Linked DNA regions of Pelodiscus sinensis. The protein of the gene in region 1 binds, or shares a complex with, the protein of each later gene. Links are inferred from orthologs where the notes say so. Each region holds a gene or a part of one and is shown in the gene's direction. Other genes may lie near its edges.

Region 1 (7,740 bases):
ACAGAGCTTGCATCCAATTTTTTTTAGCTCAGTGTTGCCAGATGGCTGATTTCAAAATCGGTCTTAATGTTAACACACCTGTTTAGCTTGGAACTTGTTGGAAGTGATCTGTTTAAAATCTGAAAGTGACTTGTGTTCATAAGTGAGCCAGCTGCCTGACTGCTGAGGTCCAGTTCTTAATGTATAATTAAATGAATGTGCTCTGACATTCCCCACCTGTATAGAAAAACTGTGGGTAGAAGAAGCTTTTCAAATGTAGTCAGTAATATAAACAGAGAAAATAACCAGTAAAAAAAAATCAGAAGGCCCCTTTTTGAAACTTTTTTTAGAATCATTTGTCCTGAGAGACTGTCTTCTTGGTGGCATCCATTGCCAGCAATGTACATATCAAAACTGCCAGCACCAAGGAGCTAATTACCATATTTAGCTTACTTCTAAATAAGTAACTTCCATCTTATGAATCAAATTCCTTTAATGATTAACCCTTCCACTTGACTACTTTCTAACAGTTATATTGTCACAGCCAGTTAACAGCAGATTTGAACAGAAGGTGCAAGCTTAATAACAGAGTTTATACAGATCATTGACAGTTTGGGTGGCAACATCTCAAAATGCTTGTTCCTAGTGTTGGTCTGTGCAGCTCTCAGTTTAGTAGCATTTTGTGGAAGTTCACCTATTAAGTATTTTGGGATTTCAAATTATAATTATATACATGCCAGTCAAAAAAAAAATCTAGCCATACTTTCTTTATGCAAGCCGTTGTCATCTGGACTTAACACGGTATGAATTAGATTCATGTACATATTGTTTGGCCAGTAGGCCGCCAAGTGTACTTGCATAAAATCCTTGCCTTTTAAAGTAGCTTGTACATTTTAAAACTTTCTAACATTTTCTGAAATGGCTAAAATTAAAGTTATCATTAAAATCTTCAGCTATATTCTTACTCAGCTGTCAATATGGCACAGATTATTACTATATTCTTTTAATCTTTATTTATCTTCCATGGTGACTTAACTTCATGTGTTGCTACAAAGATTTGCAGATGTCTTTAATCAAGCACTATTTGTTAATACTGTACTATCAATATTATGTTGCATTATTTAAAAACATTCAAATTTAATAGATGAAAAAGTTTTAAATGCTATTGCACCATTTAATTTGCTGCACAACAGTCTATGGCATAGCATATCAGTCTGTTAATATTATCCATGTAATTGTACATGAAACAATATTTTGGCCTGGGTTTCCTCTAAGAACTCAGTTTCTCAAAGTTAAATTATATGACAAACTATCTTGACAGAAATTCTAAAGTGAAAAATTAATTACTTTCATCTTAATTGAAAGATATAGATCTATGTCTGATATTTAGAAAATCTTATATGTGGGTGTACTTTATTTTCAATTGAGTGAAACTTCATTTACAGTAAAACTGGATTTGGGACCTACAATAATCCTCAGGGTCACTTTTTCAGGAAGTTTTAATATAGCTTTAGGTTTTCCAAATAAACTGGATTTGAGGACCTTGAAAAGCTATTGGATTTAAATTGCAAATTGTGGCATCATTACTGGACATGTCAATTTCATAAATCTTCTCAAAATAGCTGGGTCACTTTAAGGGAAGTTTTTAAGGTTTTGCTCAGCAGTGACGTTTAATGGTCCAAGTCGTCTTATTTAATATGACATAAAATCAAATAAGGAACAAACACTATTGCTGCCGAATGCCATAAACACTGAGTTGTACAAATTGTGATTGAGGAAATGAAAAAAGTTTATACTTTTAAAAAAAAAAATTCAAATGGAATAAATTATTCATGAAGCCTTGATTGTGGCGTCTCTCTTTATTTCCAACACTCAACTGTACGATCCTCTCTCAGTGTTCCCTCCAACCTTTTCCACTCATGTACAGGATTTTTCCCATTAATATATAGAATACATTTTTTATGTGCACCAAGATGTATCTGTGAATTGCTACTAGAAACACATGGGCTACGTCTAGACTGTGTGATTTTCCGCAAATGCTTTTAACGGAAAAGTTTTTCCGTTAAAAGCATTTGCGGAAAAGAGCGTCTAGATTGGCACGGACACTTTTCCACAAAATCTAGACACGGTTTTGCACAAGAAAGCCCCGATCGCCATTTTCGTCATCAGGGCTTTTTTGCACAAAACAGTTTTTAGCTGTCTACACTGGCCCTCTTGTGCAAAAACATTTCCGGAAAAGGGCTTTTGCCCGAATGGGAACGTCGAAGCATTTGCGCAAGAAGCACTGATTTCGGACCATAGAACTTCAGTGCTTTTGTGCAAAATCAAGCGGCCAGCGTAGACAGCTGGCAAGTTTTTGCACAAAAGCCACCGTTTTTGCAGAAAAACTTGCCAGTCTAGATGCAGCCAAACTGTACTCTAATGAGCTGAGTGGCATTTCAATCTCTCCTGAGTTGCCACATGTGTATCTAGCTTATAGGGAACACTGCTCTCTCTACAACAGGAAGGAGTTGTAGCTTATTGAAGATGACTAAAATAAAAGCATTTTTGCAATGTAGCATAGACACAAAATACACAAAAACCTCAGGGTTAGGACCTTCAGAATTACAAACTAACCCATCAACCACACCCCTTGTTTGGAACCAGAGATATGCAATCAGGTAGCAGCAGATACTCCCCTCTCCCCGCCTCTTCCTCCCCCCCCCCCCCCCCCCCCCCCCCCGCTGGTTAAATATAAATTACTAGAAAACTACTGGGAAATAATTTTTTAAAACTTGATAAGGAAGCTGTTTCTATGCTTTTCGTTTAAAGTAAAAGTTAGAAAAATGTAGCTTTTTTGCATAGTAAAGATTGAAAACTGTATTAACAAAACCAAGGAATGCTGTGATATCCAAAGATTAACAGATTTCTTTGGGCACAAGCTTTTGTGGGCAAAACCCCATTTCATTAGCTGCACTCCAACAAGCTTTCTTGGGCAAAGACCCATCTTTATGCCTAAAGAAATATTGGTCTTCACAGGCTTCCTTGTTGTGTTTGTGGATGCAGATTAAGAGGGCTACCCCTCTAAAGGGCTGCGTCTAAACTGTCTACACTGGCCGCTTGATTTTGCGCAAAAGCACTGATGTTCTACTGTCCGAAATCAGTGCTGCTTCCGCAAATGCTTCAACGTTCCCATTCGGGCAAAAACCCTTTTCCGGAAATGTTTTTGCACAAGAGGGCCAGTGTAGACAGCTAAAAACTGTTTTGTGCAAAAAAGCCCCGATGATGAAAATGGTGATCGGGGCTTTCTTGTGCAAAACCGCGTCTAGATTGGCATGGACACTTTTCCGCAAAAAATGCTTTTGCGGAAAAGCGTCCATGCCAGTCTAGACACTCTTTTCCGCAAATGCTTTTAATGGAAAACTTTTCAGTTAAAAGCATTTGTGGAAAATCATTCCAGTCTAGACATAGCCAAGCTGTATAAAGTGAATGATCTATGGTAAGCTTTTAGGATACTTATAACCTTCCTGCACCCGTACCTGAGCTGTCATTGTGCACTTCTAACACTAGTCTCCCAAAGCTTTTAACGACTGGGTTTTTACATCATAAGCTTAGAATTGGACACTTCCAACCCACTTGATTAGCCTAATTAGCACCAGTCCTACAATTTACAGGTGGTGTTTTTTTCTGCTACATCTTAGTTACTAGCTGGATTTTATCCATGCTTCTCTCTCTATATTTAAAAAAAAAAAAAAAAAAAGTTATAAAGTCTCAGGGATTTGCATGTTAGTCTGTATTTTTTTTTAAACGAGTAGTCCTGTGCTACCTTACAACCAAAACTGTATCGATACTGTGTGTATACACATATATAAATGAAAGCTCATGCTTCTCTCCACATGTATTTTGGTTAGTTTCCAAGCCCCTGGCTACATTCGGGAGTTATTTGGAAATAAGCGGTGTCTCCGTCTTACCAACCCTATTCTCTCAATCTCTACTCCTGCTGCTTTTGGCTGTAACCGGACCGACTTTAAGGCTATTTAAAAAAAAAAAGTCGCTGTTGTTTAGCCTGCCGTGGCCTTCTCCCGACACTAAATAACAGATGCAGTGGGATTGTTTTTCGGCAGCAGCAAACCTCATTTTAGGAAGAACGAAGCCTTTTTTTTTTTTGGTGTTGAAAAGGCCTTGAATGCAACCAGGGCTTTTTGGAACGAGCATCCAGCTGGCCCAGGCGCGCTCCCGCGAGAGCGGCTCTTGCCTGGCTGGGCGCGCTCTTTCGAAAGAAGCGCTCTGAGAAGACGCGTCCTGTGGGCTCTCAGCCGCAGTTGAAGTCGTTACTCCCGGCGCTGCTAGTTCGAATGGGGGGGGAGGGGTTCGCGTAGACAGGCCTGAAGGGGCCAGCGGCCCACTCGCGCTTTCTGACCGTTACAAGACGAAGCGCCCCCTCCCCCCCCGCTGAATATGATCCGTAGCTTGGGGGGAGGGGGCGGCACAAGGTTCCAGCGGGCGGGGGAGGGGCGGGGAGGCCCACAGCGGCCGGGTCCCTGGCTCCGCGGCACGTCACTCTCGGCCCCAGGGGCCGCCTGAGGCCGGCTCACGCCTGGCTCGTCCCGAAACGTCACCGCGCCGCCGTTGACGCTATTCCGAACGTCAGACGCTATTCTCCTTTTCGCCCCCCCCCCTCTGAGGCGGAAGGCCGCCAACGCCTTCTGCTGACGTCAACCACGGCTTCCCTCCCCCGCGCAAGCAGCTCCACCCGAGCGACGGCCGTTCCTGACGTCACGTCCGGTTGGCCTGTCGGTTGTCCCGCCCATTGCTCCTCCCACGCCCGAACGTTCCTAGAAGCCTTTGACGGCGTCATCAGGGGGCTGACGGGTGTGATGTCATCAATAGGGGACGGGTGCCTGCTGCCCCGGCCGCAAGGTAGCGGCGGCGTGGGCGGGGCGGAGCCGCTGCCGGTCTCGGGGGGAGGGACGGGTCCCAGGTTAGTGAGAGTCCTGGATCCTCTGCCCCGACTCTCCCTGGAAGCCTCGGATCCCTGGGTCCTGAGTGGGGGGGGGTCGTTAGAGCCCCCCCTCGAGGGGCTGCACCCCGGGTCCTGAGTGGGGGGGGTTGTTAGAGCCCCCCCTCGAGGGGCTGCACCCCGGGTCCTGAGTGGGGGGGGTCGTTAGAGCCCCCCCTCGAGGGGCTGCACCCCGGGTCCTGAGTGGGGGGGTTGTTAGAGCCCCCCTCGAGGGGCTGCACCCCGGGTCCTGAGTGGGGGGGGTCGTTAGAGCCCCCCTCGAGGGGCTGCACCCCGGGTCCTGAGTGGGGGGGGGGGTCGTTAGAGCCCCCCTCGAGGGGCTGCACCCCGGGTCCTGAGTGGGGGGGGTCGTTAGAGCCCCCCTCGAGGGGCTGCACCCCGGGTCCTGAGTGGGGGGGGTCGTTAGAGCCCCCCTCGAGGGGCTGCACCCCGGGTCCTGAGTGGGGGGGGGTTGTTAGAGCCCCCCTCGAGGGGCTGCACCCCGGGTCCTGAGTGGGGGGGGTTGTTAGAGCCCCCCTCGAGTGGCTGCACCCCGGGTCCTGAGTGGGGGAGGGGTTGTTAGAGCCCCCCTCGAGGGGCTGCACCCCGGGTCCTGAGTGGGGGAGGGGTTGTTAGAGCCCTCCATGGTGCCAGATGCTGGGGTCCTGGGGGAACTGAGGCTGTCAGAGCTTTTCTCTCTCTCTCCCCGCCTGGCCCCAGGACCTACTGCCTGGGTCCTGTTTCAGTCTGGAAGGAGGACGGTTCAAAACTGGGTGCCTGGGTTCTGCTTTCAGTGCAGGGCCACGAGCAGATCAACCCCTGCAACACGGTCCTGGCCCTGTTCTTGTCTCGTGTACCTTCCCCTTTCACAACCCTGGCACCACCATCCTTTGCTCTTTTTGGCTCTGAGGTGAGGAGGCGGAGTAGGCCGTTGGTGGGAGCTGTAATAGAAGTGGCGGACATGAATGCAGTTATAATAAATCATTGCTTTGGATCCCAAGGGTTTCTTGGCTGTGTTGGAGATGTGTCCCTTTCTGGACACCTGGTGTCCCAGTATCTCAAAGCATCTTGGAGATGCTCACAACCTTAACTTCTTATGAGCACTTAGTGACAGTTGAAAATAGCACCTGGAAGTCCTGGTTACTAGACCTTCCTCCCCTCCCAGAGCTGCAAATAGAAAGTAGGAGTCCTGATGCAGTCTCCCTCTTTAATGGGAGGCATGACCCAGATGTCTCAGATAGGAGCAGAACTGGTAATCCTGACTCCTAGTCTTGTGTTTTAATTGCTAGACCACATTTACCAGCTTAGAGCTGTCAAAAGCTGTGATGCAATCTGTCTCTTCTGATGATAATTGTGTTTTTATTTTGTCTTTAGGACAGGTGGTAAAAATGGCAGAGTGTTCTGGCCTTCAGTTTGTCAGCCCCTACGCATTTGAAGCAATGCAGAAGGTGGATGTTGTGCGCTTGGCAGCACTAAGTGACCCAGAGTTAAGGCTTTTGTTGCCTTGCCTGGTGCGAATGGCCCTTTGTGCCCCAGCTGATCAGAGCCAAAGCTGGGCTCAGGATAAAAAACTTATCCTTCGACTCCTTTCAGGAGTGGAAGCTGTCAACTCAATTGTTGCCTTGTTGTCTGTGGATTTTCATGCCTTGGAGCAGGATGCAAACAAAGAGCAACAGCTTAGGTAGCTAAAACCCATTTTTAATATGATTTAGAAATGTGTATGTATGAATATTTCATCTGAATGTTGCCATCTTCTTCCAGAATGTAATAACAGTAGTGAATCCTGTTGGCCTGGTTACTTGGCATTTTGCTACATTATTGTTTCACATCCCATGCGTGTTTCTTGTATCTTGGGCTTGATAGGACAGCATGCAGGGAAGGATATGGAATTTATTGCTTTTTTTCAGTGACTCAGTGCCCTTCCTCCACCACCATAGCTATGCAAGGGGGCACTGATGCTCTTCAAAGGAAGTGCTATCTAGTCACATTTTACCAGAAGGATTAACCCTTGGAACTATAAGGATGCACTAGTCTTTGGCTGTGGTCTGTGTATTGTATGGGAATGGAGCAGGGATTCTCAAACTGGGAGTCATGACATGGAGGGATCAGGAGCAGTGTTCCCTGTAAGCTGAGTGCTTGGGCGGCCACCAAAGAGAGATTCAAATGCTGCCCACAGCCAGCAGCTTGTGTTTCTACTGGTGGCATACATCAACACATGCCTCCATGCACATAACATTTATTCTGTGCTTGGAGGGGAAAAAACTAGAGGGAACATTGTATAGGAGGTTATTAAATGAGGGGGTCACAAGCTCTCAGTCTCTACCCCAAACACAGCTTCAACCTCCAGCAGTTATAATAGTGCTAAATATAAAAAGAAACCTTTTTAATTTATAAAGGCTGTCCCACTCAGACACTTGCTGTGTGAAAGGGGACACCAATATAAATGTTTGATAATAATGGGATAGAGACACCTATTTGAGTGTGCATAAGCTTTTGTCATGTGTTTTTTTTTTTTTTTTTTTTTTTTTTTTTTTTTTTTTTGCTATTTGAAAATATCAAAATCATGATAGTTTTCTGCGGCCACTAGTAAAGTTATCAAGAAAGTTTCGTAGAACCAGCAAAACAAGTGTAGATTGCTGTTCTTGCTTTAATATTTAAAGTGCTCAGATACTACGGTGACGAGCATGGTATAAGAACAGACTAACAAGAAATGCTACTAATTTCTGTGCCTTATTTTTCTTTAAACATCTGTTTTTGCCTTGTAATGTATTTGTTAGACACAA
Region 2 (7,353 bases), on another chromosome or scaffold:
AAAATCATGCCAATCTAGACGCAGCTGTTATGTCTAGACTACATGCCTGTCGGCAGAGGCATGTAAAATAAGCTACCCGACACAGTCAATGAAGCGGGGAGTTAAATATCCCCAGCTTTATAAAAATGAAAATGGCCGCCGCACTGTGCCGGATTAGCTGATTGTCAGCACAGCGCAGCAGTCAAGATGCGGATCGGTCGACAGGGGAAACCTTTGTCAACCATTCCCTTATGCCTCATGAAACGAGGTTTACAGGAGCAGTTGACAAAGGCTTCCCGTCAACTGATCCATATCTTGACTGCCACGCTGTGCCGACGATATTAAAATCCCTACTTCACTGACTATGTCGGGTAGCCTATTCTATATGCCTCTGCTGACAGAGGCATGTAGTCTAGACATACCCACCCAGAGAGAGAAAATCTTTGGGACAGAGATTGCCACTTACTCTATTCTATAGATTGGACCTCTATAATCTAGATTTCCCTCATCCAACAACATTTGTGGTCAGGCATCCCTGTTGGTGTTCTCAGATTGTAACACTTATGGGGAAAAGCTGGGGGTCATGAGCTCAGCAGCTCTTCTCCCTCTCATTTGCAGCATTTAAGCTTAGGGAGGGAAGGACAAGGAGAAGAGGCAGGAGAGAGGAGGTACACGGGGGAAGAGGCAGGGTAGCTCTGGAGCTCTACAGCCAGGTCCAGGAATACAGCCCAATGGGAGGGAGAACCCCCACAGACACCAGTCTGACCTCCAGACTGCTAGCCACAGAATTTGATGTGCTCCCGGAGGGCTGCACTCCTGGCCCCTAGCCACAGAGCTCTGCAGCCACCTTGCCTCTTCGCACTTGTGCCCTGCCCCCCGTCATTCCTTGGTCAATGCCAGCCCCTCTGCTGCTGCCAGAGTGGGCCCACAGCCACTGGCAGCAGAGGGGCCAACTTAGCCTCACTTAGGGTCTGTAGCTAGTGCCTCTGCTGCAATACAATTAACAGCATCAGCTCTACTGCACATCTTAAAGAGCAGATAGGTAAATAAATGTGTTTGTTTACAATATGGAACTAAGGGTAGCTTAGCTGGTTAGAACTAAAAGAATGTTAAAAATCCAATTCATTTAAACTAATTGTGCTGTTTACTTCTTAAAATTTCTCCAACATGGGCTCAATATCAATTATGTCTGTTTCAGTATGCTACACATTTGGATTACACTACAGAGAACTTATTTGTTTAAAAACAAATGCTTCCAGAAAAATACAAACAAAAAATGAAAACATTTCTATTGTGCTTAGTTTCTGTAAAACAGTGTCACCAACTAGAAGATCAGATCTTGGAGCCTCTGACAGGTGATCTTGACTGGTTTGACCAAGAGGCTATCAAGTGCAGCACTTCAGCTGCCCCTCCCACCACTGCTGTGCATCTCCTGCCCTTTGCCTTGGAGCTGTTCCCCTCACCCACCCTGTATTCCAGTGGTCCCCAATGCGGTGCCCACGGAACAATCTGAGCCGGCCCTGCCTCCGGGCGCACGGCACATGCCAGGGCTGGCTCCTGGCGCATGGGTAGCCTCTGCCACAGACACATGGCACATGTGTGGTGCCGGCCCCAGGCGCCTGGTGCATGGGCAGCTCCTACCCCGGGTGAGTGGCACATGCTGGTGCTGGCCCCTGGTGCGCGGCACATACACAGCCCTGCCCCTTGTGCATGGAACGTGAGCGGCCCCGCCCCCGGACACGCAGCAGCCCCAAAATGTTGGGGACCACTGCTGTATTCTATCTTCACAGAACAGGGGTGGGGGCACAACAAGGTTTGGGATGGAGGAAGTTTGCTGGCTGCTTTGGAGAGTGGTGCAGGGACGGTGCAGGGGTGAGCCTGCCTTAGCCCCACTGCACCATTATCCAGGAGCCACCTGTGGTAAGCAGTGTCCAGCTGGAACCTGCATTCTGAATCCCTGTTCCAGTATTTTACCCTGTACTGTACCCCAAGTCCCTGCCCTAGCCCTGAGCATCCCCAGACCCAAATTCCCTTACAGACCCTTACCCTGAACCCCTTCCTGTACCCCAACCCCTGCCCCAGGATCAGAGCCCTTCTCACTCCAAATCCCTTAGCCCAAGACCAGCTGCCCCTGCCTGATGAAAAGGCGAAAGGATGGGGGAGGAAGGAAGGGTGAGGTGAGCAGGGGCAGGGCCACGAAGGAGGCGGGGCAAAGGTATTTAGGATTGCACTTAAATTCAAAAAGTGATCTCATACTTTAAAACAGTGGTCCCCAACCATTTGAGGTTGCCAGGCGCCAGGGGGCATGGTCGTTCACCCCAAGCGCCACGCGCCCCCCCCAAGCGCCGTGCGCCCAGGGCTGGCGCCCCCCCCAGCACTGCGCGCCCAGAGCACGGGCGGCCAATCCACAGCGCTCCCAGGGCCGGCGCTCACCATGCGCTCAGGGCCGGCTCCGGCACCATGCATGCGCCACGTGCCCAGGGCCAGGCCAGCCCCGAGCATTTGGCAGACGCACACAAATGCCCCCGCAGGCATCATGGCGCCCGCGGGCACCGTGTTGGGGACCACTGCTTTAAAAGGTTGGAGACTACTGCTGTAAAAGGTTTTGTTTGTTGTATTATAGAAAAATACAACTCTGGACATTTGACAATGTTTCTTTTCATGTAGCATGTGTTACTGCACGTTACTGATAAATGTAATGGTTATTCCAATAAATATGTAGCACAGCAAAAATAATAGCTGTGGTATTAAGGCATCAGATGCAGGATATCTAGTTTATATTCCATTTATGTCAGCTTGCTATCAAAAAGTTTCCATGTAAAATTTTCAGTGAACCCTCATTCAGAAAAAACTCACAGGAACGACCAACTAAATGGAAAATATTTTTTACATGAAGCGAGACTAAAAGTATTGGGGCTGTTTATTTTAGAAAGGAAACCAGATAGAGGTATACAGATTAAAGGTATAAAAAAGGTGCATTGAGAATCCATCCTAATCCTATTGATAAAAAGAAAACAAGCGAACAATGAAATAAACAGACTAAGTTGGCTACCCCTCTGAAGCTTTTGAAATAATCTGAAAACCAGCAATTTTAAAAGTACCCAAGGTATAACTAGTCAGATTCTTTGCTACTAGATACTATTGATACCAAGATCTTAGCAGGGATTTAAAAAAAATAACTGAATTTTTATAAGGATGAAAACATCCAGTTACATTAGAAAGTTCATAAGAAATAGATGCATCATGGCACAACCAGTATCTCATGGTGGTTTGGAGAACACCCATAGGCAGGATATTTATTCTGTTTTGGATTTATTGCCTTTTGCTCCAATGCATAGGGCCCTGGCCACTCTAAGAGACAGCAAACTGAACTAGAAAGCCACTGGTCTGATCCATTACGGCAGATGCCTATGTTCCCAAAGATCTTCCTTTTTTCCAAATGTAATTGCAAACAATTGTCATCTAAATGACACCCTTTTATTTGGTTCATAAACCAATTGTGATTTCCCTCTTTGTTCACTGCTAATAAGTCTGCACTGAATGCTATTTACGAACATGTCTGGATCACTTAACTATTATGGCAAGGAGCGTGTCCCTATCTTCTATATATCCTCCCCTTGTTTAATAGAAGGTAACTGACTACCCAGTAGTGGAGAGTCTCCATTATCTCCCATAATGGTGATCTGTGTTGCAGTGCTTAAGATCAGGGATTAAAACTCTGCTGAAATACCTTGATGGGGGCTGTTACATTCACAGCATGGACAAAGGTCTCTGCTTTGCAGAGTGGGGGGCTGTGGTATTAGCTGTGTAATACAGAGGGTGCCCGTCATTCTCCCACAAAGTGGAGGATAGCTCCCCACACCTACACTAGCAAAACCCATGGGAAAGTAAATGAGAAATTGAGGGGGGAATGCCTCAGGGGCCTGAGGTGAGTGACTCCCCCCCCCCCAATAACAGAGAGCTCAGGAACTGTCCCTCACAAAGGTCTTTACCCCACATCCAACGCACCTGCCCTGCTGCCCCTGTGCCCAAGGGGTACACCCCACATCCTCAGCACCTGCCCCACGCTTCAGCCCCTCTGACCTAAGCTTGCACCTCATAACCTCAGCACCTGCCCCACGCTGCGGTCTCTGTGCCCCGGAGATCACCTCGCGGCCTCCGCAGCTGCCAGTTCCTGGGGTGCCCCGAGTTCACCCCGCTTCCCCAGCAGCTGCCTCATCGCGGGGGCCCTGTGCCCAGCCACCGCGCATCCCCAGCGCCCGCCCGTCCCCGAGTCTCGGGGAGGCTTCGCCCCGCTCCAGGCCCCGGCATCCCCGGGCCCGGCTCCGCGGCCCTACAGGCCCCCCACGCCGCTTACCCCCGCCTCAGCTCCGCCGCTTCCTCCCCGGCTCCGCCTCTTCCTCCGCACGCTGCCGCCGCGGCGCCTCCGGGGCTTCCTGCGGCTCGGCCGGGCTCTGCGCCGCAGCGTCACCCGCCGGGCGCCCGGGCCAACGGCGAGGGGTAAGGAGCGCGCGGGCGGGCTGGGCCTAGGGCTGCGCGGACAGGGCCGGGGCTGCAGCCGCGTCCCCCCCGCCCGTGAGCCCCCCGGGCTCCCCACCCTGCCCGGCCTCAGCGGGGCCACGCGAGGCCGGCGCCGGCCGCGGGGGCTGGGCGCGCTGCTTGCCCGGGCCCCGCTGGGGAGCGCAGTGTCGCGCTGTTGCAACGCGGGGGTCTGATCACTGGGCGAGCATCTCCCTCTCCTCTGCTTGCTGTGCTGTCAGTCTCCTAGGAAACCACTGATCTTACTAGTTACAGTGGGGGAGGCCGAGGGTGGATATTTGGAAAAACTATTTCCCTAGGAGGGTGGTGAAGCACTGGAATGGGTTCCCTAGGGAGGTGGTGGAATCTCCATCCCCAGAGGCTTTTAAGTCCTAGCTGGACAGATCCCTGGCTGGGTTGATTTAGTTGAGGTTGGTCCTGCTTTGGACCTGGGGCTGGACTTGATGCCCTCCTGAGGTCTCTCCCAGCCCTAGGATTCCATGATTCTAATATCTCCTTGTGATGTGACACTTTCCCTGACCCCCGGTAACCACTCCTTGTGAATGGTCACTTTATTTTGCTTCAGTCTTCAGTGCGGTTCCCTTCCTCCCTCTTCCAGCCAATAATTCCTCTATTCTGCCAGGCAGATGTGTACACTTGTATTTTGCAGACAGTGTGGAGTTTAAGTCCTTATTGTAACTCATAATGGAAGGTTCTCATTAGTTGTGCTGTGGGTCTGTTGTTTTTGATGTGTGGTAGCATATCACCATGTGATAAGTGTTTTCTACAGAGAGAAAGCAGCACAGTTGCTCCCTTCAGGAGCTCACATCTAATCCAAAATGCAGGACAATGTAGCACTTTAAAGACTAACAAGATGGTTTATTAGATGATGAGCTTTCGTGGGCCAGACCCACTTCCTCAGATCAAATAGTGGAAGAAAGTAGTCACAACCATATATACCAAAGGATACAATTTAAAAAAATGAACAAATATGAAAAGGACAAATCACATTGCAGAACAGGAAGGGGATGCAGGGGGGGGGGGGGGAGGAAGGAAGGTAAGTGTCTGTGAATTGATGATATTAGAGGTAGGGAGAGTGGGATGTTTGTGAGTGATCACAAAGAGAAAACAGTTTCTTGCCATTTTAACCAAAAAGGACACTCTCTCAATGACTTAACCACCTGCATTCTGCTACAAAGACCTTTTACATCTGCACTTGAAAGGGAATCCTCTGAACTGTCATTCATGTTAAAATTCGACACTTTCCAACAAGGACTTAACAAACATTTGAACTATCTCACCCATTACCAAGATAGTTTCCCCAATTATCACCTCTAATACCATTAACTCACAAACATCCCACTCTCCCTACCTCTAATATCATCAATTCACAGACACTTACCTTCCTTCCTCCCCCCCCCCCCCCGCATCCCCCTCCTGTTCTGCAATGTGATTTGTCCTTTTCATATTTGTTCATTTTTTTTAATTGTATCCTTTGGTATATATGGTTGTGACTACTTTCTTCCACTATTTGATCTGAGGAAGTGGGTCTGGCCCACGAAAGCTCATCATCTAATAAACCATCTTGTTAGTCTTTAAAGTGCTACATTTTCCTGCATTTTGCTTCAACTACCCCAGACTAACACGGCTACATTTCTATCACACATCTAATCCAGACACAGTGGATTGAAGGGTTAGACCAACAAACATTTGGCTAGGAAATGAATACCTCTAACTTGAGTAAAATTTACTCCTCATATATAACAATCTGTGGTTTAAGATTATGATCACTTTTTGACATTTATATTTTGATTTTGTCTACAGTATTTAAATAATCCTCAAAACAAGGAATGAATAGACTTGAGATCACTGCTCCCTTCTTAAAGGAAATCTAATACAAACATGTGCTTTGCACTAGGGATGTGAACTAGTAGCCAACTAGTCGATAAACCTGGTCTTAATGGTTAATCTAGTTGACTATTAGTATTTCCACCACCTCCCTTTGCTGCCTCTGTCTCAGAGGTAGTAGCATAAGGCAATAGGCAGCTGGTCTATCGGGGGTAGCTGTTTTTTAAACTGGCTCCCCTGTTGTGCTTAAAAGAAGCACCCAGAATCTTTTTCAGGGGGATACGGCAACACGCCACATTTCTTGAACATACATAGATCAATCAATATTTATCATATGCATATGATACATTAAACTCATGCACTCTCACACAAGCACATTCCATTTTGTTGTTACCAAAAGTTGCTCCCCCTAACTGCACTGGCCAGGTGAGTTAGATGGAGGAGGGGTGGAGCTGGCCTTCTGTAGATCGATGCTCCCATGTTGACAAGATGAAAACCCAGGGTCCTCTCCAAGATGCCTCCTATTTATCCCTCTCATGCAGCCAATTAGTCATCATCTTGCCTTTCTTAATGCTGCTTCAAAGAGAGTTCTTCCAAGGGCGGGCAATGCTGCTTGACTCCCAAGGTAGCTGTCTGTCCAGTCTTCTTAATGAGCTCACTTTACAGGTATTGTCTTGGATCTGGCTCCCAGACCTTCTCCACCCTTGCAACTGCTGCTGGAGGTGCTCACCTTTAATTCTCCCTTCACACCTCATTCATTTCAACAGGACAATCAAGGAAAGGGGAGAGCTCAAAAGACATTTTTTTTTCTTACAAGGAAAGTTTCTCTTAATACAAAGTTATAGGAGAAGTGTTACAAAGATTCTGTACGAACACTTACAGATATATCTAAAAGGACAAGATCTTAATACAAAGTTATATGAGAATGATAATATTACAGGGATTTCTCCACACCCCTTGCAGACCAGCTCCCATCTGGCACTCCACGCTGCCTTCTGTGATAGAGAG
Region 3 (7,614 bases), on another chromosome or scaffold:
GAGCTGGCTTTTAAGTGGCTCTTTGTGCATGCCAGCTCTGTGGACCTGCCCGCTTTTCCTTGCTGCCTCCAACAAGGAGCCGGTGCTGGGGAGAGCTCGCTTAAAAAACAGTTCCCCCCAGCACCAGGTCTGTGGCGGCACCTGCCCTCCCTCCCCTATGCTGCTGCCTCTGCAACAGGGGACAGGGGAGGCTGCCACGGAGTAGCCTCTGTCTGTGGGCCTGCCACGGACCAGAGGCTGCTCCAAAGTGGCAGCCCGTTTGTGGAGGGTCCAAGCTCTGTGGACAGGGGCTGCTGTTGTGGAGCAGCCTCTGTCTGCAGGGAACTTGGACCCCCATGGACAGGGGCTGCTGCCATGGAACAATCTTTGTCTGTGGAGAGCTGCGACCCTCCACTGACAGGGGTGGCAGGTGGGAGCCGGTCTGCGCAGGGAGCTTGGCTTTTAAAAGCTGTATCTGGGGCAGCATGTGGGGTGACGGGATTTGCTGGGAGTGGAGTTGTAGCGCACTGGCTGCGTGCCTCCTCTCCAGGGACTATCAAATAGTTGTGTAACCACTAAGATTTCATGTGGTTACATGACTGTTCAATTACGTGATATCTAACATCTCCAGTTAACTTTCTTCCCTGAAAAATGTTTTTATTTCTAGATATGATAGGCCAAAATCTCATAATGCTGATGCAACTGTACTGATTTCAGTGGGTTTACACAGGAATTACTTTGGCCTGATATAGTCTGTATTTGTGTGTAGCATAGGAATCTAAGGTCTTCAAAAAGAGAGATGTGCTTGAATCAGCTCTGAACATCACCAAACTTTGTTGGGTCAGAATCCATACCCAAATGCAGAACTAGTCTCTGACCCCTATTTCTTTTGGAGACACGGGACATGAAATCTTGATTACATTTTAGTTCACAAAGGCTATAGTTAACTTTAAAGACAGCTTCCAACTTGTTTGATTTTTCCACCTCTTCCTAACTTCAGCAAAACCAAACACATCCCCATGAAGTATTTCATGCCACATGTTACACCACAATAGAATTTTTCTGAAACATTTGGGTCACTATTATATAACTTATATAACTTCAAATCTTTCCATTAAAAAGGGGGTAAACACCAGGTAGATAAATATTTTATCAAGCATGTCTAAGTATTGCATGAACCTTGACAGATGGGCAAGACCAGGACACAGCAAACAAATATGTTTCACCTTTATTTACCTAATCTATATCAAATACTTATGAAACACAATTAAAGATAAAAATTCTCTTGTCACAGTATAATAGTAAGTTTCCTAGACTGGTATCCTAGAATTTGAAAAGCATATTATATACTTGTAAAGAAATCAGTGAAACTAGTCTTGGCATGAAGCAAAACAGTCTTTTATATAGAAGCTAACATTTTTAAGGGCTCCTTCTGGCTACTTTCAGAGCACATGTGGAGGTGTAACCACCATCAGGCAAATTTGAACCTGGGATCACTTAGGCTATGTCTACACTGGCAGCTTCTTGTGCAAGAACTCTTTTGCGGAAGAGTTCTTGTGCAAAAACTCTTCCAGAAGAGAGCATCTACACTAGCATGTGCTTTTGCGCAAGAGCATCCATGCCAGTGTAGACACTCTCTTGCGCAAGAAAGCTCTGATGGCCATTTTAACCACAGGGCTTTCTTGCACAAGAAATTCATGTTGCCTGTCTACACTGGCCTCTTGCGCAATAACAGTTGCGCAAAAGGGCTTATTCCTGAGGGGGAGCGTCAGAACTCTGGCACAAGAAGCCCTGATTTCATACGTTAGAACGTCAGTTTACTTGAGCAAGAACACGCGGACAGTGTAGACAGGCAGCAAGTTTTTGCGCAACATTGCGCTAGTGTAGACACAGCCTGGCTGTGTCTACACTGACTGCGTATTACGGAATAGGCATGCAAATGTAGCACTTTGGAAAAGGCAAATCCACGGGGGATTTAAATATCCCCCGCGGCATTTGCATTTTCATGGCCGCCGCTTTTTTCCGGCTTGGAGATAAGCCGGAGAAAAGCGTCCAGACTGGCGCGATCCTCCGGAATAAAGCCCTTGCAAGTAGGAATAAGAGATCCTCCGGAATAGGGCTTTATTCCGGTGGATCGCGCCAATCTGGATGCTTTTCTCTGGCTTATCTCCAAGCCGGAAAAAAGCGGCGGCCATGAAAATGCAAATGCCGCGGGGGATATTTAAATCCCCTGCGGATTTGCCTTTTCCAAAGTGCTACATTTGCATGCCTATTCCATAATAGGGGCCAATGTAGACGTAGCCCCTGAGTGTAGGAGCCTCTACAGCTTGAAATATAAAGCCAGCTGGCTCTCAGCTTAGGCTGTAGAGCTCCCTTGTCTAAGTGCCACTACGTGGGACAGTGAACCACCCTAGGTCTGTGGATTACAGAGGTATTTATTAAAACATGTTACTGAGAATAATAACAGGAATGAATTTCCCGTCTGTATCACTGAACTGAGGTACTCTTCCCACAGACAAAGAAAGTCATACATTTTTAACTGTGAACATAATCTATTGGAATAATTTGTCAAAGGTTGTGGTGGATCCTCCAGGATGGGCAATTTAAAATCAAAATAGAATGTTATTCTAAAAAATCTGCTCTTGTTCAAACAGGAATTATGGGGAGTCCTATACTCTGTGTTGTATAGGAGGTCTAGGCATGCACACAGGGAGAGATGCGAAGGTGCAAATGCACCTCCCTGACCACCCAAGTCAGCATGAGGGGGCTCCTCAGCCGCCTTCCTGGTGGTCTGCAGCTCGATCTCAGCTCCCCTCCTACTAGTGCAGTGGGGAGCCCACACGGGCACAGTAGCCTCACCCTCCCACATCCCCCCATGCGGTTGGTGCACTAGCATTAGCTTCCTACTGGTGGGGAGGGGAGAAACCCCAGAGCCTCACTACATGATCTGACTTGCAGGGAAAAAGGGCTCCCCCTTCCCCTCTCCTGGCTGGGGGAACAGCAGTGCGCAGGCTTGCTGCTGTTCCCACAGCTGTGGGAAGGGAAAGGGGAAGAGAAGTGCTCCTTTCCCACAAGCTGGATCACGTAGTGCGGCTCAGGTCTTTCTCTCTCCCACCCCCTCACTGGGAAGCTGGAGCTGGTGCTCCAACAGAATCCAGCCAATGAGAGCAGCGGGAGGCAGTGCCTGGGATTAGTATGGGGCAGAAAGGCAAATAAGTGCCCCCCCACCCCTTCATGCCCAGCCCCCTCACACACCACCACCACCCCCTGCTCCTGCACCCTCCCTCATGGCCAGACACCCTACCCCCAAGCCTGCTCCTGCATCCTCCCTTGCTCCTGCACCCTCCCCCTGGCCAGACACCCGCCCCCTACCCTGGTCCTGCAGCACTAGCAAAATGGCTTGGGTGTAATTATGTAATTAACAGTGAGTTTCCATTAGCAACTGATGATTCATGGAAAGGTTTGCATTGAACCAGGTGGTCCACAGGCCAAAAAGTTTGAGAACCACTGTGTTAAGTGGATGGGAGAGTGCTGTGTTGGGGGGTGGGTAGGCAAAGCTGGTGGTAGTGCAATAGGGCTGGGGGAATAGCGCCCCCCCCACCTGCAAGGAGCAGCCTGAGCCTGGCCCTGCTGGCCGGATGCCTCACCTGCTCTCAACCTAACCCTGGCCTCAACAAACAGGTAGAGCAGCAGCAGGCAGTGGTGGCCAAGGGAGCAGGGGGCCATGGTGGCCAGACTGCCCGCCATGATCCCAGAAGGTAATTTCTGTAAAGCCTTTATTGCTGTATAATTTTTTAGTATAACAAAATCATTTTACCAATCACTGTTTCCACTCAAATTTATCATTAACCTCTTTTGTGCACACTCATTGCATAACTATTCTGAACTCCTTTACATTAAAAAAAAATCGTGGTCCACATTTACATAAGAAGCATCCCTCCACAAAAATCCTTGCATATGGGCTTGAGGTCAGACTAGATGTTCACAATGGGCCTTTCGGGAATCTATGACTCTGTGTTGTCATTCCTCTCAGGCAACAGCCTGAGGAAATGACCTCGCTCTACGTGCCTGGGAGGAAATAACAATTCGGATTATCACGGGAGTACATTTGTTACTGACAGATATGCAACATCCTGTACATTAAACATGTAGATACAGAAATCGATTTGCGTGGGGCAAAAGAAGACGCAATGAATTAAAAAAAATCTTTCAGGAAATTAAAAATGTTGAGCCTGAGCTGTGCTGATTTGCCCCAGCTGAGAACCTAGCATAGGATCCTGATCCGCACCACAGCCAGGGGCCCGTGGAAGCCACTTATTAAAACAGATCCACCGAAGAGTCTAGAAATTGAAGGGCGGCTTGTATGATTCCCTTCGCTGAGCGGGGGTCACTGCTCCTCCAGCCCCTGCTGATTCAGCCCTGCTGTTCCCAGGGCTCACTTTGTTGTTCCCAGGGCTCACTCTTCTGCGGTTGGCCAGGAGTGTGAAACACACCTGGCCACGTGTGGGACATGCAGCTGACCACATGCTGGCCACGTGTGGGACATGCAGCTGACCACATGCTGGCCACGTGTGGGACATGCAGCTGACCACATGCTGGCCACGTGTGGGACATGCAGCTGGCCACGCTGGCTCTTTGCTGGGGAGTGACTCCTGGTTCCCAGCCCAGCGCTTCAGCACAGGGATCAGGGACCCTCCCACCAGCAAGGTGGCTTTCCTAGCGCTGAGCACTCCCACTGCGGGCACCACCCCTTGATTGACAGAAGCCCAGCGACGGGCGCTCCAGCCTCGCAGGCCTCTTTCTCCCTAGCCAGGGACTCACTGGCCATAGAGAGGAGACCTCCGCCTGTCTAGCAAGGACAGTTTATCTTCCCATCATCGCCAGCATCTCTATGGTTTCATTTCCGGGTGCGGTGGTGGAGGGGAGGAGAAGGAAGAAGGTACGGTGGCTGCGAGGGCTCGCGCCCTGCTGAAGGCGAACGGCGGCGGTGGCGGGCCTCGGCATGGCGGCGCACCTGAAGAAGCGGGTGTATGAGGAGTTCACTAAGGTCGTCCAGGTAATCCGCGAAGCACGTGAGGGCGGCTTGGGGAAGCCTCACCCCCGTCCCCGGGAGAGGGGCTCGGCCCCTGCCCGGGAAGGCGACTCCTGGGCGGCCTGACGTTTCAGGAAAACCCGCTGGAAGCCTGAGGCCTGGCACTGAAATGCCTCGGGACCCGCAGGCGGCTGCTCCTCTTCTGGAGCGCCGGGGAGCCGCGAAGCTGCCAGCCAACCCGGGGTCCCCCGCGAAATGGGGGCGGGGCCCCCCGGGGGGGGCTAGGGGCCCAAGGGGTCCCCTGCAAAGTGGGGGCGGGGTCCCCTGGGGGGGCTAGGGGCCCAAGGGGTCCCCTGTGAATTTGGGCGGGGTCCCCTGGGGGGGCTAGGGGCCCAAGAGGTTCCCTGCAAGTGAGGGCAGGGTCCCCGGGGGGGGGGGGGGGCTAGAGAGCCATGAGATCCCCGTGAAGTCGGGGGGGGGGGGCTAGAGAGCCAAGGGGTCCCCTGTGAAGTGGGTGGGTGGGGGCGTTAGAGGGCAGAGAGCCCAGGGGCATGGAGGGAATGCCTACCCCCCCCCCCCCCCAGTAGTGGCTGTGCTGGTAAAACCATGCACAGGCTGGAGCTAGTTGCTAGGAGCCCAGGCTCCCCTGCTTCCCTCTGTTCTGAGGTCTTGCCTCACTCTGTGGCTTTGCCCAGCAGCAGCAGCATGAGGAGATCTCTGCAAAGAAGCTGCGGCTGACCAAGCCCAGTAAGTCGGCAGCACTCCATGTCGATCTGTGTAAGGCTACTTCGCCGGCAGATGCTCTGCAATACCTGCTTCAGTTTGCCAGGAAACCAGTGGAGGCGGAAAGCGTGGAAGGAGTTGTCAGAATCTTGCTAGAGCATTATTACAAGGTAGGGGAAATAGCCTCAGGAGCAACTTTCATGGGACTTAGAGCTGCAAGAAATAGTGGGACTTTTGTATAGTTCTATTTCCTGACATGGCTCTTGTTGGAGAGATGCTCAAGTGTTGGTAACAGAATGTGAAGGTTCTAAAGTGATGTTGGGTTTTGGAGTGAACCTCCCCAAGCCTGATTGACAGAGTTGGGTTAGTCTCCTACTAATGCCCTAAAAGTAGCTGTATAAATAGGGCTTTGAAGTAACCACTTGGAGTCTAAAATGTAGAAAAGGGTGATGAACTTCAGAGCTCTCCCAATTCTAGTGGCCCATTGATTCTCATCATGCTTATTATTGATTCTATGATGCTTATTAAAAGTGAAGTTAAAAAGTGCACCGTGGCTTAACAACCACGTAAAAGAAGCAGCAAGAGATAAAAAGGCATTGTTTAAAAAGTGGAAGTTAAATCCTAGTGAGGAACATAGAAAAGAGCATACACTCTGTCAAAGTAAGTGTAAAAATATAATTTAAAAAAGCCAAAAAAGAGTTTGAAGAACAGCAAGCCAAAGCCTAAAAAGTAATAGTAAAATGTTAAAATACATCAGAATCTGGAAGCCTGCTAAACATCCAATGGGGCCATTGGACGATCAAGATGCTAAAGGAGCACTCAAAGACGATAAGGTCATTGCGGAGAAACTAAATTAATTCTTTGCTTCAATCTTCACAACTGAGGATATTAGGGAGATTCCCAAACCTGGCCATTCTTATTTCTTATTACAGCGACAACCTCAAGTTCACCTATCTTAGTATTTGAACTTCTTGCGTTTGTATACAAGCAGTTACAAAATCTGTTAATATGTAGTTGTCTGCCTTCAGGTTATGTAATTGAATGGGACTCCTTTTTGTTTGACTTACTCTTCAATTCCTATCTGTACTTTTATCAACTTCTATTCTCTTCTCCTTACTAGGCTATAGAGCTAGGGTGCCCAACACGCTAGCCACATATGGCTATTTGGCCTGTTGAGTGTGGCTAGTTTCAGAACTGGTTGGAAACCACGGAGTATCCTCTTTAATCCTCCCTTAAGTGATATGGTTGTCTAAACTGTGTGTTCCTCTGCATCTGTTGACTTGCCCACAGCTCTTAGTTCAAAAACTACTCTACTACTTAGGGATGTTAAGCATGTAATTCGTTAATTGTGTAGTCGACATAATTTTGTTGACTACATGATTACTCAATAAGGGTTAGCACTGTTACCACTCAGTCCCAGCTTGAGCTGGGTCTGGCAACTACTCCTGCTTTGGTTCTGCACTACAAGCACTCGTAAGGCAGAGCTGCAGCAGGGGTTGATGCTGGGTCCCGGCATGAGCGAGACTAGGGCTGTTAAATATCGGAACATTGAAAAGTCGATTAACCTCATAAATATTTATTGGTTGATAGACTGTTCTATAGTTCCCAGGGATGAGGCCGGCAGCCAGTGCGCTCTAGCCCCACTCCCGAGGAACCCCTGCCACTCTGTGCTGTCGGGGGGGGAGGGTGGGGCTAACCTCCCAAACCCTGCACAAGTCGAAACTGAGCCAGGCTGCCCGCCCGCCTGGCTCCTAACACACTTTAAATGCAGAGCCACAGCAGGGATAGGTTCTGGACCTGGCGTGAGCAAGGACTGAGTTGGGCTTCTGGTCAGCCTGCTAAAAAATGTACTGGCAAAGAGGAGGTGGGTGGGAGTAAAT
Region 4 (7,039 bases), on another chromosome or scaffold:
TAATTCCAGTTTCTGCAATAGCGACAAAATTTTATCTTTTATGGTGAAAATGTTCACATATCTTCCTTGCAGCGACAGATTAACTTCATTCATCTTGGTGAATGTATCTGCAAAGTACAGCAGCTAGGAGTAATTTGTCAGACAATCAGACAGTCAGCGTTTGTGTTCTACAAAGTAAACTAATACTTTGTGATGAAACTCAGAAAGTCTAACAAGCACTTTCCCTTGTGATAGCCACTTCACTTCTGTATGTTGAAGGAAAACTATGTGCTGCCCGCTTCTCTGCACAGAATTCAGAATAATTTGGATTGTAGTGGTCGAGTTTGTATATAATAATTTGCACTGTCTTTTCCAGAACATTTTAAAGAGGTACAAACATATTCTAATGGCAAGAACTTGTCGGTGAAGGACATAGTGACTGCTGGTGCTTAATTCGCGATACAACTCTGGCTGTGTCCCCAACTATTGCCCTGGTGCTGCCACTACACACATCAACACACTTTTCCCAACTAATTTCATTTCTTGTAATAAAGTTAATACAATAAAATATTTCTTCACCAGCCATATTTTTCTGCAAGGATTCACATATTTGCAAGTCCTTTACAGTGGTTTTATCAAACATATAGGCTGTGTCTAGATTGGCCAGTTTTTCCGCAAAATCAGCTGCTTTTGCGGAAAAACTTTCCAGCTGTCTACACTGGCCGCTTGAATTTCCGCAAGAACACTGACTATCTCATGTAAGATTGTCAGTGTTCTTGCGGAAATACTATGCTGCTCCCGTTTGGGCAAATCATTTGCGCAAGAGGGCCAGTGTAGACAGCACAGTACTGTTTTGCGCAAAAAAGCCCCTATAGCTAAAATGGCCATCGGGGCTCTATTGTGCAAAAGCGCATCTAGATTGGCACGGACGCTTTTCCGCAAAAAGTTCGTTTGCGGAAAAGCGTTCGTGCCAATCTAGACGCTCTTTTCCTAAAATGCTTTTAACGGAAAAACGTTTCCGGAAAATCATGCCAGTCTAGACGTAGCCCTGAAGTTTTAAACTGTTTTATTTTTGAGTGCAGAGTTTTTTGTACATCCTATTTTATTAGTTAGGAAGGGTAATTAATATGTGCAGACCAAGGTTCGGGTCTTAAAATTTTGTTTTGTATTATCCATTTGTTTCCATCACACTCTCGTTGCTAATAGAATCTCTATATTCTCTTAAATATACTTTTCTTTTAATGTAAGTGCTCACAAGTTCTGTGTGATTTTACAGCAATAGTGATTTAAGATAAAACTAGAAAACTGGGGTACATGGTTGCTTTGGAGCAGAGGATCTGAGCGGCTAATGTCAGAGGCCAGGTAACAGGGAAAATGATTCATAGGTATATTAATGGAGGAGGTGCTAGGTCTTGGATGGAGGCTGGCTGCAGAAAGGAGCTTGGAATAGGGGACTAAGGAGTAGGAGAGGGTGTGGGGTCTGAGAGGAAGACTAACTGTTAATAAGGTTGGGTGAAAGAGGGGATTATTACGCTGAGCAGGGGATTTTTGTGTAGAGTCCAGGAGTGCATATGGGAACAAGAAAGGATTCTGACCTGGAGGAGGGGGCTGGAGAGTCTAGGAGGAGATTGTGACCTGGGGCACAGTTGCAAAGGTTTGAGTTGTGTCCTAGATCAGGAGGGAGTTGTGACCTAAGGCAGGAAATTGGGATGCAGGTCTTGGAGGGGGCACTGGTGCAGGAGTGGTGGTACAGAGGGTTTTGGTTGTGACCTGGGACAGGTTGGAGGAGTGGGAGTAGGTGAAGTCAGGTGTAGGCTCTGGCCAGTAGATCCTTACCTTAGATAGCCAGCAGCCCAGCCGGACCCTGAGGCAGGCTTCATGCCTGCCACAGCCCGTACTGGCACAGACAAGAGGGCTACGTCTACACTGGCCCCTTTTCCGGAAGGGGCATGTAAATTTCATGAGTCGTAGTAGGGAAATGCGCGGGGGATTTAAATATCCCCCGCGGCATTTAAATAAAAATGTCCGCCGCTTTTTTCCGGCTTTTAAAAAAGCCGGAAAAGAGCGTCTACACTGGCCCCGATCCTCCGGAAAAAGTGCCCTTTTCCGGAGGCTCTTATTCCTACTTTGAAGTAGGAATAAGAGATCCTCCGGAATAGGGCTTTATTCCGGAGGATTGGGCCAGTCGAGACGCTTTTTTCCGGCTTTTCCCCAAGCCGGAAAAAAGCGGCGGACATCTTTATTTAAATCCCGCGGGGGATATTTAAATCCCCCGCGGATTTCCCTATTCTGAAGTTGAAAATTAGCATGCCCCTTTCGGAAAAGGGGCCCGTGTAGACGTAGCCATACTGCTTGCTACTGCCTGGTCAGTAGGAGCCGGATGCAGCCCATAGGGGACGGAGTCTGCCGGAGCTCACACATAGCAGCCAGCTTGCATAAGGCACCATGAAATATGAGGCAATTTGGTACCTCAAATGTCATGGTGCTCCATGTCTGTGGTTATGTGTCTTGCATATGGGTAGAGAAAGCCCAGGTCCAGACAAACTGTAAAACATAATCTGTGCCTAATTTATAATTAGGATGTTTCTGCTTGTGCAATATTCACACAATTGTTCATACATTAAAAACCTAACGAAACACATTGGTCTGTAAATAATCAATCTTCTGGTGTGCACAGTAGTGTAACTCACCATCAAGTGAAAGGGAGTGTCACAACTTTGTTTCTGTTGCCTCTGATCTTGTGGCCCTATTGCCTGGCTTGGCCACCTTGACGTCTTTAAACTAAAGAGAGGCAAAATCTTACTAGTTCTTGAAGTTCTTTGAGTGGGTCTTGAGTGATTTGTGAGGTGGAAGTCTTGTTTTTATTCGACAAGTTAGTGTCACATTTCAGATCCAAGTAGGGGAGCTGGAACTATTTTATAGTGGAGGTGCTGAAAGCAGAAACCATGCATTTGGTTACTATTACTTTAAGGGGGCGGGGGAAGAGTGCAGTACCCTCAGTTCCCCAGGATCCAACTAGAAGAAAAGTGCAGTACTTTTAAGGTCAAAACCACAGCACTCCAGGCATGCAAGGCTGTCTCAATGTGAGACCATCCGAACTCGTAGACTCCCCCGCTGAAGAGAAAGACAGTAGCGCCCCAGCCACTAAAATACGGGCCCCGCCGTCCTCACACAAGGCATCCGTCCTGATTATCCCCCTCCGCTTCTCTCCCAAAGACAAGCTGCAACGCCCCACGCCTAGCAATTGCCTCTCCCTCGCCGGAGAGGGGGGGAGGGGGAGTCGCCCCGCAAAGCCCCCGCCCTTGACCCACTCTCCTCCTGACGTGGAGCGCCACGCACCCCGCCTCCCGTGAGCCCCTGCAGACCCGGGCTGCGAGCGGGCGGGCGGGCAGGCGGCCTGGCCCCCACTGCAGCTCCCCCGAGGGCCCGCCGCCCGCTCCCTGTTCCGCCTCCCCCCTGTTCCCGCCCCTGCCGGGGACCGCCCGGAGCCCAGCGAGGCCGGCCCGCAGCCCCAGGGAGTCGCCGGGCGCCTGCGTTACGGAAGAGGAGCGGCGCGCAGGCAGCAGCAGGCGCCGCCCCGTGACTCACTCGCGGAGGGACCGAGCTGCTAGGCCAGCGCGCAGGAGACTCCTCGCCGGGGGAGCCCGCCCCCGCGTCCCCTCAGGCCCTGCCGCCTCCCGGGCCCGCTCCCCTCCCCCACCCCAGCGATAAGCGGCTCCCGCTACACCCCCGCCGCCCCGCTCGGGCCTCATCCCCGTAGCCGCTCCCGCGGCCGGGCCTCCGGCCCCCTCGCGGGCAGCTTCACAGGCCTGTCCGACGGCCGAATTACCTCACTAGCAACGCCCGCGCCCCTCCCCCACCCCGTCTCCCTCAGCGTTTTCCGATGGATCCCTTCCTCCCTTCCCAGAACGGGGCAGCTGGGGGCGACTATGTCATTGCAGCAGCACCCCCACCCGGTCGGAGCAGCAACGCGCATGCGCGCAGCTGGAACGCGTGCTCGTCAACCGCCTTCCCTTCAGTGGCTGGATCCGCCTCGTTCCCCTTTTCCCCGTGATTTAAATATGCTAATGAAGGGTCGTCGGGAGTCCAATGGCGGGGCAGGGAGGCCGTCACGTGGCCCGTGGACGTGCCTTTAGGGGGCGGCTCCCGACCTGCCCAGGCTGCCTTAAAAGCGGGCTGCGAGCGAGGAAGCGCCTCAGTCAGAGAGAGAAAGTGTCGGGGTGGGTGGGTCGCGGCTGCTCCGCCTGAAACTTCTGAGTAACATCAACAGGGGGGCCGGCGGCGGCAGCAGCAGCAGTGCAGCCCCCGTCCGCCTTTTCCTTATAAACCAGCCTGTGCAGGGTCCTCACACAAAGGCGAACGGGGCGCGGGGAGGCGTCTCTCCCCGTGCAGCGCACTCATAGCCCCCACTGCCCGCCCGCCCCCTCGTGTCTGACCCCCGCCCCTGTCCATGTAGCCGCCGGCCCCGCTGCTGCTTCGCACTATGCCCATCTTACTCTTCCTGATAGACACGTCCGCCTCCATGAACCAGCGCACCCATCTGGGCACCACCTATCTGGACATAGCCAAAGGCGCTGTAGAGACTTTTATGAAGGTACCGGCTCTGCCTGCGAGAGGCGGCGGCGAGAGAGGGGGTGGGTTGAGGTGGGGGGGGGGAGGTCGCCCTGCTGCCCGGGGTTGGGGGGTGCGGACCTGCGGAGGCCGGGCGGGGGCTCGCATGCGGGGCGCTGCTGCTGGCTCCCTCGGGTAACCCTGCGCTTTGTGCCCGCAGCTCCGCGCCCGGGACCCCGCCAGCAGAGGAGACAGGTACATGCTGGTCACTTTCGAGGAGCCTCCCCACGCGATCAAGGTAACCCCCGCGAATCGCCCTCCTCCCCCGGGCCGTCCGCCCGCCTCTCCCCTCCCCCGCGCTCCCGGCGGCGCGGCGCAGCGCAGCTCGCCCCGCACAGGCACACACAGGCTCTGGCAGCGGCGGCGGCGCTGACATCAACATGGCCGACATTTTTCCTGTGCGGTGTGCGAGCAGCAATGGACTGTGGGGGATATTGATTCAAGTTAGGAGAAGTGACAGCAACTCTAAGGCGAGTTCGGCGGCGAGGAGCGGTACCTGCTTAGGGCCGGGCAGCCTAGGCTGGGCGCTTCGCCCTTGTTGTGCGTGGAGACCCGGAGCCTCCACATGACACATCAGAAGGGAACCTGCTGTAGGTCATTGACCGGCCCCGGCCGCTGCCGTGGACCAGGCTCTGGTTATTTCAGTGATCCTCAATAAGTTATAACTTATAGGCTCACTCTTTGCACCTCAAACCGTGAAACCAAGCACCGATATTCTCCTGCGAGGGGGACGGCTGCGAGCTGGGGGGTGTGTGTGAGAGATGGTATATGAAGTCTTTAGAACAGAAGGGGTTCTTAGTTAAGGCTCTAAGATGAGTTGATAGTTTGTGGGGGTATTTTTTAACTTCATACATGAAAGAGAGGAAGAAACCATTTTTGTAATCTGTAACAGAAGGCTCTCCATGTATACTGCTATCATCTGAAAGATAAGCATTCTTGCCTTTCTCTTTGCAGGCTGGCTGGAAAGAAAACCATGCAACCTTTATGAATGAATTGAAAAACCTTCAAGCTGAGGGACTTACGACTCTTGGCCAGTCTCTAAGGACAGCTTTTGATTTATTAAACTTAAATAGATTAGTAACTGGCATAGACAACTATGGGCAGGTAGGTTGAATATGAATAGGTGTAAACACTTTTTTAAAAAACACTTTCAGAGACCACACATGATTAGTTGACCAAAATAATAGCCTCTGTGAAATATGAAGAGTAAAACATAACGGAAACTATTTTACAAATAAACAGTGCTGAGACAATTGGGAAACCCATAACTAGGATGTAGTTTTGCACCCAGTTTTAATTCATTTTTTATTTCATATCTGTTTAAAACTTCTTGAGTTTTTTAAAACACAAACACAAGCATTGATTTACATTTTTTTTCAGTTCACACGTGTACATTTTTGGTATATTATGTTCAAGATAATGAAACCTTATATTTCAGCACATTACCCAATCGCATGCAGTGGTCATAAATATATTTTCTCTTACGTGTAACATAGGTGGTACCCAATCAGTTGGGGGGACTTTGGGGGTTTAGCTTCTCGCTGAAGTACACTTATTGTTAGCCACTGTGGGGACCTAGCTATTAGGTTAACTGGAACAGAGGTTTAATCAAGTATTGGTTTATTAATTAATTAGACCACTGCTTCTGTCTTTGCATATTCCTGTATCATTCAATCTCTTTCCCTCATATTAAAGCCCTGAAAAGCTCTGGCTTCGCTGACAACTTGTACTGGAGCTGCCATCCTTCTGGCTCAGAAGGATTTGAACAGGACTTCTTTTGGAGCATGTCAACATTATATTTAATCAACAGTGTGGGTCACTGTAAAACAATAAGGCACTTACTTGCATTCTTCCTTGGGTTGAATATATATTTGGAAACACTCTCAGTTGCTCCTGGCCTGAAGAGTAAGAGACTTGGAATATGAATCCAGCTCGAGTTTTGCATAGTAGTGGAGAGCATTGCTAATGGGTACACATATTAAATGTATATTTTGCACTTACTTGCCCTATTAGCCTCACATTTCCCCTTTTTATTTTCTCCTGTGATGTAATGCCCTCTGAGAGGAAGAAAGGCTGCTGCTGTTTGTTTAAAAAATAAGTTGCTTCAACCAAATGCTCTGAGACTGAGCATATATCTGTGTTGCCATGTTCTGTTTGTGTAGGAGGAAAATTCTTATTTCCCATGTTTCACTATGTTGCACTGCCAAGTCACCCTAAACATGTTTTTAAATGCAATCTTGGTGACAAAATTTTGAAATATACTAATTTCACACGTAAAGCTAATCTTTTTAGTCTGTTTCCATGCATGGCCCTCTTATACACACACATGTATTCACCTGTTTTTCTGCTTTCCTTCGTTCCTGTTTGACTTAGGTCAGCCTTACAAAGTTTTCATGAAAACTTACCATCACAGATTCAAAAAAATCCAAACCCATAATCCATCCTTTGC

What was found.
Region 2: INTS2 (region 1) and INTS12 share a complex: the UniProt entries of both Homo sapiens proteins name them as parts of the integrator complex. The link is inferred for Pelodiscus sinensis from reciprocal best matches to the Homo sapiens genes INTS2 and INTS12.
Region 3: INTS2 (region 1) and INTS4 share a complex: the UniProt entries of both Homo sapiens proteins name them as parts of the integrator complex. The link is inferred for Pelodiscus sinensis from reciprocal best matches to the Homo sapiens genes INTS2 and INTS4.
Region 4: the proteins of INTS2 (region 1) and INTS6 are in contact, whole or in part, in a cryo-EM structure (PDB 8RBZ), measured with the Homo sapiens proteins. The link is inferred for Pelodiscus sinensis from reciprocal best matches to the Homo sapiens genes INTS2 and INTS6. Residues at the interface, in NP_065799.2 of Homo sapiens: Ile855, Asp856, Pro857, Leu858, His895, Arg923, Glu925, Leu926, Lys927, Ala929, Leu930, Ala932, Ala933, Gln934, Ser936, Ala937, Gln940, Ile941, Glu944, Asn1010, Lys1013, Leu1014, Phe1017, Gln1018, Gly1019, Tyr1020, Pro1021, Ile1046, Ala1047, Gln1048; in NP_036273.1 of Homo sapiens: Ile484, Val486, Arg487, Ser488, Arg489, Phe527, Gln528, Val529, Ala530, Leu531, Leu532, Asn533, Phe541, Arg542, Asn543, Ala544, Tyr545, Ile547, Arg549, Leu552, Leu553, Leu556, Met559, Arg560, Asn562, Leu563, Leu564, Lys565.

Annotation. Positions count from the first base shown.
Region 1 is NC_134731.1:6,069,758-6,077,497, forward strand, and holds the start of INTS2 (integrator complex subunit 2), read left to right. Parts: upstream 1-4,736; 5' UTR 4,737-4,835; coding exon 4,836-4,878; exon of another isoform or gene 4,879-4,939; intron 4,940-5,545; exon of another isoform or gene 5,546-5,867; intron 5,868-6,331; coding exon 6,332-6,638; intron 6,639-7,734; coding exon 7,735-7,740. UniProt on the Homo sapiens protein: Component of the integrator complex, a multiprotein complex that terminates RNA polymerase II (Pol II) transcription in the promoter-proximal region of genes.
Region 2 is NC_134715.1:26,900,093-26,907,445, reverse strand, and holds the start of INTS12 (integrator complex subunit 12), read left to right. Parts: upstream 1-4,346; 5' UTR 4,347-4,479; intron 4,480-7,353. UniProt on the Homo sapiens protein: Component of the integrator complex, a multiprotein complex that terminates RNA polymerase II (Pol II) transcription in the promoter-proximal region of genes.
Region 3 is NC_134711.1:316,726,110-316,733,723, forward strand, and holds the start of INTS4 (integrator complex subunit 4), read left to right. Parts: upstream 1-4,602; 5' UTR 4,603-4,981; coding exon 4,982-5,035; intron 5,036-5,706; coding exon 5,707-5,904; intron 5,905-7,614. UniProt on the Homo sapiens protein: Component of the integrator complex, a multiprotein complex that terminates RNA polymerase II (Pol II) transcription in the promoter-proximal region of genes.
Region 4 is NC_134711.1:291,278,767-291,285,805, reverse strand, and holds the start of INTS6 (integrator complex subunit 6), read left to right. Parts: upstream 1-4,020; 5' UTR 4,021-4,462; coding exon 4,463-4,573; intron 4,574-4,750; coding exon 4,751-4,828; intron 4,829-4,934; exon of another isoform or gene 4,935-4,970; coding exon of another isoform or gene 4,971-5,060; intron 5,061-5,544; coding exon 5,545-5,694; intron 5,695-7,039. UniProt on the Homo sapiens protein: Component of the integrator complex, a multiprotein complex that terminates RNA polymerase II (Pol II) transcription in the promoter-proximal region of genes.